Linked DNA regions of Kluyveromyces lactis. The protein of the gene in region 1 interacts with the protein of each later gene in a pairwise test. Links are inferred from orthologs where the notes say so. Each region holds a gene or a part of one and is shown in the gene's direction. Other genes may lie near its edges.

Region 1 (7,863 bases):
GTGAAATACGCTCATGATAAAAACGGATACCCTTTCTCCAGAATAACCCTCGAGTTCAAAGAGATGTATAAAAATGTGCATTGGACCTGATTTAAACGTCATGGATTTAGTACCTAAATTCTAACACTATTTACAATCGAATAACGTCCATAAAGACAATGGAACAAACAAGCCAACTAGCCGCCCAAACTTTAAAGTAGGTATATCATACAACAGCATCATCGACGATGATAGTGGGGATGAGTTAAGTACTGATGGCCCTTATAACATGTCGAAAGAGTATGAAATTAGTAGCTCCAACACTTCAAATGATACCACATTCCAGCTTAATTTCTCGAATTCTTTGACTCGTCCATTAAGGAAAAAACCCAAAATCGCAACATTACAAAAGGACCCTGTTAATGAAATCCGTTTGTTACCTGTTTCAGTGCTACCGGACTCTGCTCAGTGTATATTCCCTTTCGAAAATTTTAATAGAATGCAGACTGAATCGTTCGAAAACATCTACCGATCCAATGAAAACTGCATCGTCACCTCCCCAACAGGATCCGGAAAGACAGTCTTATTTGAATTAGCCATTTTAAACGCAATGAACAGGCTCGATAGACCTTCTTCGGTAAAGGTGCTTTATATTGCACCTACTAAATCGTTATGCAACGAGAAGTATCAACAGTGGAAATCGAAGTTTATCATGTTATCAGTTGGAATGTTGACAAGTGATACTTCCTTCACAGAATTGGAAAAAGTAAAAGCCGCAAACATCATCATATGTACACCTGAGAAATGGGATGTTATAACAAGGAAATGGACAGATTATCCTCAGTTCTTTGCCATATTGAGCCTTGTGTTGGTAGATGAGATTCATATTTTGCAGGAGCATCGTGGAAGTACATTGGAAGTTATTCTTACTAGAATGAATTCAATGTGTCAAAATTTGAGAATAGTTGCTGTAAGTGCAACCATTCCTAATATACATGATATTGCTGACTGGTTGAAAACTGGAGGACCTACTGGCGTTCCAGCAAAAGTACTAGCCTTTGATGACAGTTACCGACAGGTGGTGTTAAGACATCACGTTTATTCATTCTACAATAAATTCAATAATGAATTCCAAATGGACGCTTTGTTTAATACAAGATTGGTCGAACTCATTAACAAGCACAGCAAAGGAAAACCTGTTCTAATTTTTTGCCCCACCAGACAATCGACCATTGTAACAGCAAGACACATCGCCCTACATGACCACGAAATGAATAACACCAGTAGTAAACGTTCAAATATTAAACTACAGGACAAACAATTAAGCGAGATTGCACAGAAGGGAATTGCTTTCCACCATGCCGGATTGTCAATGACGGATAGGAGCGTGATTGAAGACAAATTCACCAACGGTGACATAAAAGTGTTGTGTTCGACTTCAACTTTGGCTGTCGGAGTCAATTTACCAGCTTATTTGGTTATTATTAAAGGTACAAGGATGTGGTCCATCAACGGTTCCCAAGAATATTCAACTCTAGACATTTTACAGATGATCGGAAGAGCAGGAAGACCACAGTTTGAAACAGAAGGGACCGCATTGATCTTAACGGACGAAGGATCCCAAGAAAAATACGAGAATCTTTTGAAGGGAACCTCCACCTTAGAGAGTTGTTTGCATTTGAATCTAGCCGAAAACATTGTTGCTGAAATTGCACTAAATTCTATTACATCGATAAAATCTGCGATGAATTGGTTGAAAAACACTTTCTTTTATAGACGATATCTTAAGAATCCAGCTCATTATAGTGTTATTAGAAGCAGTATACTGACTTCGGACGCTGAATGCCAGTTAACTCATTTTTGTGAACGAACACTAAAGGATCTTCTTTCTTATAAAATAATCCTTGACAACAACGGAAATTTGTGTGCTTCTGGATATGGACAGGCAATGACTAGGCACTATATCCTTGGAGATACGGTCAAAAACATCATAAGATCAAACACATCACTAAAGTCGCTTGAGGTACTTAAAATATTGGCCAATGCTAGCGAATTTGATAGTATTCGTTTGAAGCATAATGAGAAGAAATTGTATCGAGAAATCAATGCAAATCCTCTTTTGCGGTACCCATTTACAGATAAGAAGAAACAGCTAATGTCAATAACTTCTAAAGAACAGAAAATTTCGTTATTAATCCAGTACGAATTAAGCGGTTTAGAGTATCCTTCTTACAAAGATGCACAAAAACATCACCAAACATTAGTTCAGGATAAGATGCTTGTTTTCAGACATGCTCCTCGAGTACTCAAATGTATGATTGATTGCTTTATTGAGAAATATGATGGAGATTCATTGAAAAGTACTTTATTTCTTTTGCGTAGTGTCGCCGGTAAAGGTTGGGAGGATACTCCGATGATCTTAAGACAACTAAACACCATTGGTTTGGTATCACTACGGAAATTAGTGAGTCACGGAGTATGTACATTTGCAGATATGGAAAAACTCACAGAACAACAGATCGAATATTATCTCAGTTTGCGACCAGGCAACGGATATAAAATCAAAAGTGACTTACAAATGATTCCTTTATTATCGCTCGAATACAGTGTAGAAGAAAAGACGGTAACTCAAAACGCAATCCATGTTTCATTTAAAGTAGAAGTACAAGCCAATTTTAAATCTGCATCTTGGCATGGTCAACAACTTTGTATGCTGATCATGTTGAAGACTGATACAGGCATATTAATAGATTTTCGGCGAACGTTCTTGAGTAAGTTAAAGACACCCAAAGCCTTCAGAATAACCATCCAGGTAGACAGAAACACGAATTTTATCGAGTTTGTCTATTCATGTGAGCAAATAGGCGGATCAAATCGTGAAATCAGGTACTATTTGAGTAATGGGTGCTATGACGATATGCCAAAATATTCGAATGTACTTGAACAGATTGATTCAAACCAAACTGGCTCTTTCCAAACTTCAATAAATTACAGTGACGCCAGGGAAACTATAAACAATGAAACAGATGATGATGAAGAGCTATTAAATTTGTTAGCGGAGAAAAATAATTCAAATGCTAACAATGAACGACAAGAAGACTGCGACAGATCTCTATTGGATAATGGAAACATGAAATGTCACCATACTTGCAAGGACAAGTCAACTTGCCGCCATCTTTGTTGCCGGGAAGGAATTCCTAGAAACACCAGGCGTAAGGCATCGAAACAGAGCATGATAAAGCATACTGAGAGTGTGCAGCAAGAAGAACCATCATCATCTAAGGATGCAAGAAACGATTTGCAGAAAGGATTATCTTCCTCCAAGAGTATGCTCCCTAACCTTGACGAATGTCAGCAAATGGAGCCAGAGCCGGTTCTGGAAAATCCAATAAATTCCCTTCCCAAGGTGTCTTCAGCGCAGCAGACACAAAAGATCACATATATAATACCCTCAAGTTCCCCTAAACAGAGTAGCCCTTTCGATACATCGTTGTCTGACACTCAAGATGCAGATTTGCTAAACTTCTTAGGATCCGACATTGAATTGGGCTAAGTCGGTGGAATCTTTAGCTATTATAATAATTTTCCAGCAGATTGGCATTTCTTTAATCAAAATACCGACAACCTATTTGTAGATGAGTTAGTGCAGCAGCAGCAGTCGTCATACTCGATTTGACCAAGAAAGATAAACCTTACCACACCTCACAAAATCACGTGCATCGTTTTTGATGACTATTTTCTGTTTTCTTTAAAATATTGAAGTTCGCAATCCTAGACAAGCTAGACAATAACCACCATGGGACGACTTAAGAAGGTATAGAAGAATTATCTAGGTTTCTAGCTGAGTAACAAGTGAAGGGAGGGGCTAACAGGCTTCATTGAGTATTTATAGCATATTTGAGGTATGTCAATGATATCTGATAGCGACAATGAAACTGAAGTTGTTTCACGCAATCTATGTGGTGTTGTGGACATAGGTTCCAATGGGATAAGGTTCAGTATTTCATCTAAAGCATCACATCATGCTAGGATAATGCCATGCGTTTTCAAAGATAGAGTAGGTATTTCTTTGTATGAAGTGCAATATGCTGCGAATTCGCTTATCAAGGCCCCTATTCCTACTGCGGTTATCCACGAAGTTTGTTCTGCTATGAAGAGATTTAAATTAATTTGTGAAGACTTTGGTGTTCCAGAAACAGGAGTCAGAGTAGTAGCTACAGAAGCTACTAGGGAAGCATTGAATTCTCAAGAGTTTATAGATGCTATTTATGACTCAACAGGTTGGGATGTGGAAATTTTGACCAAAGAAGAAGAAGGCAGGATTGGTGCTTACGGTGTCATATCGTCGTTCAATACTGTATCTGGGTTATACATAGACTTAGGAGGTGGTAGTACTCAACTATCTTGGATCAAATGTGTTAATGGGGAAATTACTCAATCATCTACCCCGGTTTCATTACCATTTGGGGCCGGTGCTCTGACAAGAAGAATGAAATTCGAAAGCAAGCACGTCTTACTTCAGGAAATTGTGGATGCTTACAAGTCTGCAGTCACAAAGATTGGCATCCCCAAGGAGATGTACGATGAAGCACAGTTAAACGGCGGGTTCGATTTATATACATGCGGTGGTGGCTTGCGAGGGATGGGTCATCTTCTATTATCGCAGATCAAAGAATATCCTATTCAAACAATTATAAATGGATTTTCATGCAGTTTTAGCGAGTTCTCAAACATGTGTGACTACTTGTTTTTGAAGGAGAGAGTTCCAGGTGAATCGGCAAGTAAGATCTTTAAAGTCTCTGATAGAAGAGCCAAACAATTACCAGCTGTAGGCCTACTCATGGCAGCAGCTTCCGAGTCATTGCCCAAGATCAAAAACGTTCATTTCAGTGAAGGTGGTGTCAGAGAAGGTACTTTATACTCGATTCTTCCAAGGGAGATTAGAGCACAGGATCCACTTGTCATTGCAACCAGACCCTATGCTCCTTTGCTTGTTCACAAATATTTGGAACTATTAAGGACTGCTATACCTACTAAAGAGATTCCAAAGATAGTATACGAAAGAATAGCTCCTGCTCTTTGTAACCTCGCTTTCGTACACGCTTCATATCCAAAGGAACTACAACCGACCGCAGCACTACGTGTAGGTACATCTGGTATCATTGCTGGGTGTCATGGGCTATCTCACAGATCAAGAGCTTTGGTGGGAATAGCATTGTGCAATAGATGGGGTGGAGACATACCAGAACCTGAAGAAGTGTACAAAAAGCTATTGGAAGACATTGCACTAAGAGATGGTGACAAACTAGAACGTGAAAGGACAATATGGTGGACAAAATACATTGGCACTATCATGTATGTCATTTGTGGTGTTCACCCTGGTGGTAACATTGGAGATGGTGTCTTCCATTTCAGCACTTCGGAGAAAGATGAATCGGCTATTGATTTACAGATGCTATCTATAGATGAGAACCTTTCAGGAAACGGCAAGCCAACTCCAACAGGGAACCCGAACAAGAGGATATTCGAAGTTGTTGTCAAGATTAACAGAAACGATCTAAAGACTATTGCTTCTGTGAGGCAAAGAATCATCACGTTGCAAAAGAAAATAAGGAAATTATCCCGTGGTTCCAGCGACAAGGTTAAGATCAATGTAGAATTCTATTGAACACTCAATTGCGATCTCAGTATGTATAGGCTTTATATAGAATGCTCTTTATTTTACTTCCCTCAGCCTCCCTTCCTGTTGAAGATTTAATATCTAATTTACCCTGTTTGTAACAAGCCTCAGACCCTAAAATGTGATATAAATATTCGTGAAAGCGCCATATAGGTAGTGTAGTGCGCTGCTGTGTACTACTATCCGATGGTCGTATCCTCTGTTGATCACTCTGTTTTAGCTGGAAAAATATAGCGTTACCCGCCCTTTAACATTTTACCTTATTAGAACGATTTTGCCACTATCGAATATAAGAGAGACATGCAATTCATAATTAATACATAAGGAGTTCACTTCACGACAGGTTACAATCAACACTAAAGAGTCACCAAGGGTATTTTCTGCGAATCCAATCCATTGAAACACTTTCCAACATGAATCACGATCCATTTGCCTGGGGAAGGCCATCTGACGAACACTATGGCGCGTACAATCATGCCATTGCCCAAGCGTCAAATAATCCAAAGATGAATACTCAGAACCCTATTATTACCGGTACTTCTGTCATCAGTATTAAGTATAATAACGGTGTTATTGTTGCAGCTGATAATCTAGGTGCTTACGGTTCGTTATTACGTTTCACAAACGAGGAGAGATTGATCAAAGTGGGTCCCAACACGGTTGTTGGTGTATCCGGTGACATTTCCGATATGCAATACATTCAACATCTATTAGACGAGATGGAAATTGAAAACAATTACGATAGCGCATATGCGGATAATGAGGAGCAATTGAAACCAAGCTTCGTTTTTGAATATCTATCATCTGTGATGTACCAACGTAGATCCAAGTTAGATCCTTTATGGAATGCGATAATTGTAGGGGGCACAGAAGATGGAAAGCCATTTTTAAGATACGTTAACCTATTAGGTGTCACATACTCTTCGCCAACGTTGGCTACAGGGTTCGGTGCCCACTTGGCATTGCCCCTTTTAAGAAAGCTAGTAGACACCGAAAAGGACGTGGAAAAAGTGAATCTAGATGTTGCTAAGAAAGCTATCCTAGAGGCAATGAAAATATTATACTACCGTGATGCCCGTAGTTCACGTAAGTTTTCATTGGCTATAATCGACAATGAACTGGGGCTCAATATCGAAAAGGACCTACAAGTAGAGAATATGTCTTGGGAATTCGCCAAAGACATCAGAGGATATGGTACCCAAAAGGTATAGGTTTCGGATTTACTTCGTCTTGTCTTCATGCTTTCACTTATCCACGCAGATAATACTTGCACCAAAATACACAATCTCATGCCAACAAAGGAAGAGCAACACATGGTGATCCTGCTCTGGTAATATATACTTTCTTTGTCAATAACGGGAAGACCTCACCTCTTCTGTGTTTTCTCTATAAATGTATACTATGCGTAAATTCTGAATTAGGGCACATATTCACACATAATACACCAAGAAAGAAACTGATCAAAACGGCGTCAATGCTGTCAACTACTGGACAGCCAGCTCAGTCATTATGTCACTAAGATATTTCGAGTGAAGGGACCTGTATATATGAAGGTTATCGTTGGAGTTACCTTTCTTTATTCTTTTACAGTTCCAATTCTTTTAGAAAACAAGTTTAATTCTATATAAACAAGTAGTAACCTAATTGATTAATGAATCATCGACAAAGGAAAGACTAGAGGACTTATAGCGCTAGCCCAGTATACCTATATTCCATACTCTCAAATACAACTGGCTTGTAGGGTAGGCATCTATACGCCAGGAAACAGATTTTTACCGATATCTTGCGATATATTTCCATTCTGGTTTCGAAAGTGAAAAGATGTCTACGTATCCTGGATGCTCATTTGAACTAACTATCTTAGGAAGCTGTGGGGGCCCCCTAAACAATCATACACAGAGTTTCTTGATGAAACGCGCAGGATCGAGTGAATCAGGATATATTTGCATTGATGCGGGGTCCGGACTAGCTGAGATCGCAGATATGATCTACGCACAGGAATACGGTAACACGTTCTTAGTCAAGAGTCTATACAAATCTAGTGCCGAAGACGTTTCACGATTTCTTGCACAAGGGGTACGGTGTACCATTGGGTTTGGTACACCAAGTGAAGTGTTCCTGAAGAAAAGCGCAGAGGCCCACAGCAGCATTATGAGGACCGCTTGTGAAATATTCTCCGAAGTTAGGGAATATTATATCACACA
Region 2 (8,131 bases), on another chromosome or scaffold:
TTCCAAGACATTGCCTCGCAGGTTGAGGGCAAGAAAGCTGGCATCGCTGATTGGACCGTGGAAAAATTAGATCAAGCAAAGAACACGATTGAAGATTCACGTGACAAGTACAGAGACAATAAGCACACTCTAAGAGAGAACGTTCAGGAATATGAAAACAAGGACAAGCCAAACGCTGTCGTTCAAGTCTACAAGGACACGAAGGGTGCTATTTCCACTGATCTCGGTAACATCAAGGAAGGTTTCATCGATGACCTGAAAAGTGTGAAGTCCGCAATCGTTGGTACTGGCAACCAAGTGCAAGACACAGTTCACCAGAATGTGAACGAAATAGCTGACAGAAGCTCGCAGAAGATCGACGATACCAAAGAATCCGTATCCAAGGCTGCTGCTAGCAGTAAGCAAACCGTGAACGAAGCTGCTCAGAATGCGAAGGACACGTCAGTCAGTATTTTGAACTGGGGCTACAACAAGGCTGAGAAGGCTCGTGCTCAAGCTATCAACAATTACGATAATGCAAGCAAAAAATACCAAGAGTTGGAAGAAAGGTTCAACGAGTCAAAGAAGGGCCTTTTCGGTAAAGGTGACCCAGAATTGCAAAGGCAAGTTGATCAGGCTAAGGCGTACGTGGAAGATGCCAAGAGAAGAGTGGATGAAGCCACTAGGGAATTCTCTGAGAAGACCACCAATGACTTCAACAAGCTGGCCAACCAAGTACACGACAACGAAGAAGAGCTGAGACGTAAAGGGTTCTTGAGTTGGTTAAGAGGTAAGGCCGACGCGGAGGTTGTTGATCCAGACTCTATTGCCAGCCATAGTGTTTCTGGATGGGGTGAAACTGCCGAACTCTTAGCAAAGGAAGAGATGGAGGAGAAGGTGAGGAACAGACAAATAGGACCAAGTGAAGCTCAAAGAAGATTGGATCGTTTCAAGAAAATCAAGGAAGACGGTTGGTTCACCTACAAGGGTAAGGACGAAGAGTTCCTGGCTCAAAAGGCTGCTAAGGCCTTGGAAGGTTGGGGTGAAACCGCTTCCACCATGGCCCAAGAAGAATACGAAGACTTGGTAAGATGGAGAGAAGCCGGTAAGAAGAGATACCAAGCTTCCGCTTCTACCGCTCGTGATGACGCCCAAAGGGCTGCAGACGCTGCCAAGAAGTCATTGGAAGATGCCCGTGCTGAATTGAACAAGCACACAAAGCACTGGTGGCAATTCGGTGCTGAAAAGAATGAGGAACTACAAAAAGCTGCCAAGGCCAAATACGAAGATGCTGAAAAGAATTACCAATCTGCGGTTAATACCGTAAACGACTGGGCTGACAAGGCTACTGGTAAGTTCTGGAGTAGTACAGACGACGCCTTGCATACTGCCAAGCAAGCTGCTGCCGGTGTTCACGAATCCACTCAAAAGGGACTAGATAAGGCACAAAACTACGTACAAGAGAAGAAATAATTCATGATTGATTGATTTCCTTTCCCTTATCTCCTCACCTGCCCCCTCCCTCACATTCTAAAACATCGTATTAATGATTTTGATTTTGATTTTTGTCTCTATCTAACTAACGTATCTAAAACTATATTATTATGTATCAACCTAAAATACCAAGTGTAAACCGTATTCCTATTGCATGTTGAAGTATGTGTGCATGCATGAAGTATTCAGTAAGACTATACTATTAACTCCAAAAAAAAAATAGCCAGAGACCGAACTTTCAATCACGTGATTCTAGTGCCGCACTCCCCAAACTCGGGTCTCCAAACACTTAACTGCATCCATCCCTGCCCCACTGTTCTCCCCTCCCCCTGTCCCCTCATCCGTGTAAAAGATGGAGATAGCATACACTGATCTCGCCTTCCGTCTCTCAGCTCGCTTCTCCCAAGGCAACAGGCCCCCATAATGTCCCCGACTTTCGTGATCCAGGATTACAGGAAGGAAAAACATAAAATACGTGACCTGATTTGATATCACAACGGTAAACCGAAGAATAAGACTTTTTTTTTTTTGAAATTTTCCCATTGAAGATGACTGACCGACTGTTGCCTGAATGACTGCTTGAATGACTGCTGCTATTTTGTGTTTCGTTGCTTGATATGCCAGACAGAGGCTTACCATGGCATAGATGATAAAGATATATCGGTAAATGATCGTCTCATTCCATCCTTCCTTTGTTGCTCCCTTGATTTTCTGCTCGATGCAGCTGACCTTGGTACTATATTAAGGAACCACCGACGCTATATATAACTAAAACGCTATATGTTCCTTCCTTGTTTGTTTATTTACTTCTTCTACGTATGATTTGTTCCCTTTTTTTTTTGGATTAGAACTATCTACTTTACATAGTTCTTCCTCTCACACGCAGGTATTGTTATTCAACTTGAGATTCAACTGCTACTACTATTGCTACTGCTTCCTACATCACCTGGCTGCTATATTGAAAAGATTAGCACGCTTTTTTCAACTTGGTTTCATTCCAGGTTTTTTTTTCTTTTTCATCGATCATAAGCAGAAACAGAAATACAGTGCTGATAGAAAAAAGGTCAGGTCAGGCATTATTTCCCATATTAAAGGTGTGCTTTAACTTGTTGAACTTGATTTATAACTGTTGTTATTGAACAGAGGAAAGAGACCAAAGACCAGCCACGAGTAATCAATCTGAACAGTAAAAGACGAAGAATCTGTTATCGCTTGGCATCATAGGACTTCAGAGTTCGCACGAATTTTTTTTTTTATTATTTTGTTTTTACTTCAACACGAAGCACCGTCTTTCCTCCGGTGGTCTTACCTCTTTTCTATTCACCTTATCATACTGTTTAGATTAATATGGATCAGAGGATTTCAATACGCAGGCGAGAAATGGATCCCAAGATGCTTAACTGTACCGATAAAAATCGGTTCCAGATGCTACACGCGAGTAGTGATGTAGAACATGAACAAAATCATACGTTTTTGAAAGTGAGTCCCGCTCTTTTCACGCAGGATAAACTGCCGTTGTTCGATTCTTTAGACTTATACACTTCGTTGATCAAATGTAGCAAATTCATGGAGCAAGGAGAACGGCTGCATAACCTTAGTTGGAGGATCATTAATAAGTCGTTGTTGAAAGATCAGAATATCAACAAGTCAAAGAGACGGGATGGTGTACGGAACCTATATCACGTTATTAATCCTATAAAGCAAACGCACTTATTCCCACAACTGCAGCAACAGCTGCAGAAACCAAAAGCTGTGACACCGGCGTCACCAAAGACTCCAACTACAATGGTAACTGCAGCTTCCACCTCGGCGACATCGTCCGGTTCATCATCTGCGCTGTTGACACCAATCTCTAGTGGGGCCTCGATACCGAAATCGACTGCTAATACGCATATTACGTCAACAAGACCTCATATCTCAATTTCGAAGAAACTGATATCACCTGTGTGTTCTTCACCTGAACCTCTACCGACGAAAATGGAGGTTCCATCAAGGTCCCAGGCAAACACCCCTGATCTACGGAAAGATTTGGCAAAGAAGAAATTCGCTATTTCTCCTGAATTGGTCAATGTACCGAAGAACCATCAACAACAATTACCTTTACCACCATCATCATCAGAACCCCCGGTGTCAAATCATGTGCCTTTATCGGAAACAAAGTCAAATGCTCACTCACAGACTTCTTTGTTCAGTAGAAACCCATCTAGTAAATCATTATTTGCGAAAAATCAACCTACTCCATTCACCCCGGCCAATGGATCTACTAATTCATCTGCCAATGGATCTGCTGAAAACCTCAAATCAAATGAGATGAATCATTCCTCGAGAACGTCATCAGTTGCCAACAATATCGCTCATACATCTAGTAATGGCACCAAATCTGGAACGTCTGGTACTATAAGTAATGCAGCGCATGTGCATGCCGGACAAGATCACAAGAATATGTTCTTTAGTAGTGAGGACGAAGAATCTGATTGGGACTCTCTTTCAGATGATAGTGAGATATACGATGAAGAAGAAGATAATGATCAATATTATGAAAACCAATGGGATAAGCTGATGTTCTCAAAGACACACCAAAACAATAATGTTCATCAAGTGCCTTCAAAAGAATCCGGAGAGAAGAAAAGTTTGTTGTCTGGTCTATTCATGCAAGAGAAACAAACCAAGTCACAAGTTGATCCAGAGGATAAAGCATACACTACAACCAATGAGGATTTGCTCAAAAGACCACTATATGTTTCTGAAGCAACATCTTCAGCAAAGGCTGTTGAGAAACCTGTCTTAAAGTCTTTGGATAAACAATCGGAAAAGCCTCTGAGAAAGAAGACCGATCAAAATTGCATATTACATCAGAATCCAACAGGAATTCAAATACCGCCTCAACCTGTTGCTCCAGAAACTACGGAAATAGTTGCTGTGGGCTCTGTGACACCATCAAGTTCGTGGCAGAACAAACCTCTTTTGGATCATCAAAAGCCAATTCCTGTCGCATTTGAGCGTTCCAGAAGACTCGGCTCTTTTAGTAGTATCGTAAGCGATACTACTAGAGAACGGTATTATCATGAATCGAATGCACCTCCGGCTGCTCAGACCATTTTACCTACTGCTCTTTCTACCCATATGTTTTTGCCTAATAACGTCCACCAACAAAGGATGGCATTACGTGGAGGAAGTCTTCAATCAGATTTTGATACTGAAATAGCCAAAAAGGTAGCATCGAGACGTGAATCGATGGATATCCCTTCCAAAAACAGAAACAATTTCTTCCTCAAGACTAGAATGGAAATCTCAGAAGAAGAAAGCTTCGCTAGAGCATATGGCAGATGTGTCAAGAAGTGAAGGTAATTTCCTTCATTTACTAAACATCATCCACGACAAATATTAATTACCTTTGATAGACTGTATAAAACCTCGTTTAATGACAACCAAGTAATTCTTTAATATGTCACCAATTACAGTGTCTGTTGTATGTAACCGATGTTACGATAATGCGTTTCTTAGCGTATTTGGCTTTATGGATTTGTATAAAGGTTTTGTCACGTGACCATTTGGTATTATTCTAATAATTATTTCTTTTTGAGGCTGAAATTTTTACATGAACGATGCGATGAGATGAGACGTTAGAGCTGAAGAACAACTTAGCTGGTTGGACATTTTTGTTTACGACGGACTAGTATCGTGTATATACGTACTGTAGTCACTATAAACAGGCATTATTATAGTATATTATCAGCTATTCGCTTTTTTGGTACTATACAAGCAACACATTATTGAAGTACGATGTTAAGAAGGCAAGCTCGTGAAAGAAGAGAATACTTGTACCGTAAAGCACAAGAGCTACAAGAATCTCAACTACAACAAAAGCGCCAAATCATAAAGCAAGCGTTAGCACAGGGGAAACCACTACCAAAGGAAATTGCTGAAGATGAGCAACTACAGAAAGATTTTCAATACGATGAAAGTGCTCAGGAACAGATAGATGATGAGTACAGCGCAACAAGCGGTATCGCAGAACCTAAGATTATTGTGACAACATCTAGAGACCCTAGTACTAGGTTATCACAGTTTGCAAAAGAAATCAAATTACTGTTCCCAACAGCGGTAAGATTAAACAGAGGTAATTACATTATGCCGAATCTTGTCGATGCCTGTCAAACATCAGGAACGTCAGATTTGGTTGTTCTTCATGAACATAGAGGTGTTCCTACATCACTAACGGTATCACATTTCCCACATGGTCCAACAGCATTTTTCACATTACACAACGTCGTTTTAAGACATGACATTTTAAATTCGGGGAATCAAAGTGAAGTAAATCCACATCTAATCTTCGATAATTTCACAACACCATTGGGTAAGAGAGTAGAGACGATTTTAAAGCACCTATTCCCACCTGGTCCAAAGAAAGATGCAGCAAGGGTGATAACGTTTGCAAACAGAGGAGATTTTATCAGCGTTAGGCAACATGTTTATGTGAAAACCAGAGAAGGTGTGGAGTTAGCAGAAGTGGGACCTAGGTTCGAGATGAGATTGTTCGAATTAAAATTAGGAACATTAGAAAATAAAGATGCTGACGTAGAATGGCAACTAAGAAGATTTGTTAGAACGGCTAGTAGAAAGGACTATTTATAATTATAGTAAGCATAATAAGACAATTCCATCATAATGTCCATAAAATCAAGCAAAGTATAACATTTTTGCTAGTGGAAAGAATTCTATCAAACGTATTTCGTTTTAACGACGGAAAGGGTATGTTGTTTGAGGAGATACAGGAAAATTAAACACAATTACATGATATTAGCAAACCCTGGAGCATGAAGCAACTGCGTTTCAGTCACTGTATTTATAGATAGGATAAAAAGAATCAGAAAGAGAAAAAGAAAACACCCGTAAGTAAATTAACATAAAAGAATAACAACCTTCTCATTTCGATATAAATAAAAATAGAATGTTAATTCAAAATAGAGTTATAACGATTGACTGTACCGAGGAGACGGTAAGGGAAAGAGTTGCTGAACGAGAGAAAAAATAAGGGAAGGGGAAGAAGATGTATCAAAGAAGAGACGGAAAAAATAAATGACCCGTTCTTGGCCAGAAAATTCAAGTGATTGCTTGAAAACAGATAAACGTAGCAATTTCCTTCTATTTAAAAGCGCGCTGAATGGCTCATGGATCATCCTTATTCTTTCTTTTTAATGTTAGATTTCGTTAGTCAACTTTTTCTTCACCACTTCGCTTGCCGTATTGGATTGAAGTTGCTCATCATAAAAAACATCATCCAGTATATGGGTATTCGCGCTTGACACGGAGCTTCTACTGAAGTTATTCGCGTACGGTGAAACTCCACTAGCATTGGAGTACGCTCTTGTCTTGTACGCTGGAGGAGAGAATTTTTTGTTAAAACCAGATCCCTGAGTAGAAGTACGTGATAAACGAAGTCCTTGAGGATTTACTGGTGGGGTGTTCAGTGTACCTGCACTAGATACATCATGATCTAAACCACGATGCTGTGTATTTCTGTTGTTGTTGTTGTTGTTGTTGTTGTTGTTGTTGTTGTTGTTGTTGTTGTTGTTGTTGCTGTTGCTGCTGTTGCTGTTACTGCGATGTTGGTCCGGATCTTCATCATCGGAACATTCACTTCCGCTGGACTCTATTTGAAAGTTACTCTTGCGCAACAACGCACTATTTGGGTTATGTGGGATCATTAAAGGGGAAGTACTCAGTCTATGTCCATTTGTAGTATTAGTATTTGGGGAACGGCACGCGAGATTCCCCGAATAATGTCTTGTAGCAACGGCCAGTGGTGGAATGGAAACGTTGGAAAGTTTTCTATGTGATTCCAAGGGACTAACACCCTGTCCACTGTTCCCACCGTTTGCAGCTACCGCAGCAGCTATAGCCTGGTTGTTCAAGAATGGATTAGAAAAATCTGGTGAACCCAGCTGATTTGAAGGAGAGTTTCCTGCTCTGTGGCTATCAAATCCTGTAGGCGTACCAGCACCTTGTTGTCTCAACAAGGTCGACGAAAGCGATTGTGTTATGGAAGGCCTTCTTGGATATGAAGAGTTCTCATCCGATATCATATCGGCGTAAGAGTAAAAACGTAACACCCTAGGTCTGGTTTCCAGGCCAGACCCCTGAGAGGCACTATTGGTCCTCATCAGTCTTGTTGTAGAAGAGTTGTTCCCACTCAAAGTGGCAGCATCCGATGATGAATTGGTCCTTGTCCTGCCCAATGCCATGTCCAATCCGATAGTGGAAGGTCTTCTCGAATAAATCATTTCCACCGACTCCAAGTCAGTAGAATCATCATTTACAATAGTCACACCTTCATCTAACGCCGGTGCCACCAAGTTTTCAAGGGTATGATGTGGAATAAAGCTTCCAGCGTTCGATTGCTTCCTCGAAGAGGATTTCGAAAGAGACAGTCCCGAACCGTTATCGTGCAACGAATCGTGCGAATCGTAAGGTGCCAAGTTTGCATTCGAAGCTGACCTAGATAACGATGCAAGCCTTGGATTGGAGAAAACTTGCGAATACGGGTCCTCGACGTTCCTTTCGAAAATCATCGAAGACTCACTATGGATCGACCCAGCATCATCGTAAACACTATCCCTCTGGGACGAAGAATGGCCTTCATCGCCGGATAACGATA

The links.
Region 2: the proteins of RTG2 (region 1) and MKS1 interact in binary tests that used the Saccharomyces cerevisiae proteins (3 or more experiments, as listed by UniProt). The link is inferred for Kluyveromyces lactis from reciprocal best matches to the Saccharomyces cerevisiae genes RTG2 and MKS1.

What each region holds. Positions count from the first base shown.
Region 1 is NC_006040.1:981,772-989,634, forward strand, and holds RTG2 (Rtg2p), read left to right. Parts: upstream 1-3,883; coding exon 3,884-5,647; downstream 5,648-7,863. Other genes in the region: HFM1 (DNA helicase), read left to right, coding at 269-3,532; PRE4 (proteasome core particle subunit beta 7), read left to right, coding at 6,073-6,870; 3',5'-cyclic-nucleotide phosphodiesterase PDE1, read left to right, coding at 7,481-7,863. UniProt on the Saccharomyces cerevisiae protein: Required for a novel path of interorganelle communication between mitochondria, peroxisomes and the nucleus, thereby maintaining a functional metabolic interaction between the tricarboxylic acid and glyoxylate cycles.
Region 2 is NC_006041.1:699,170-707,300, reverse strand, and holds MKS1 (Mks1p), read left to right. Parts: upstream 1-2,820; coding exon 2,821-4,815; downstream 4,816-8,131. Other genes in the region: OM45 (Om45p), read left to right, coding at 1-1,452; snoRNA-binding rRNA-processing protein IMP4, read left to right, coding at 5,257-6,108; KLLA0_E07811g (uncharacterized protein), read right to left, coding at 6,675-8,131. UniProt on the Saccharomyces cerevisiae protein: Negative regulator of Ras-cAMP pathway. Involved in transcriptional regulation of galactose-inducible genes.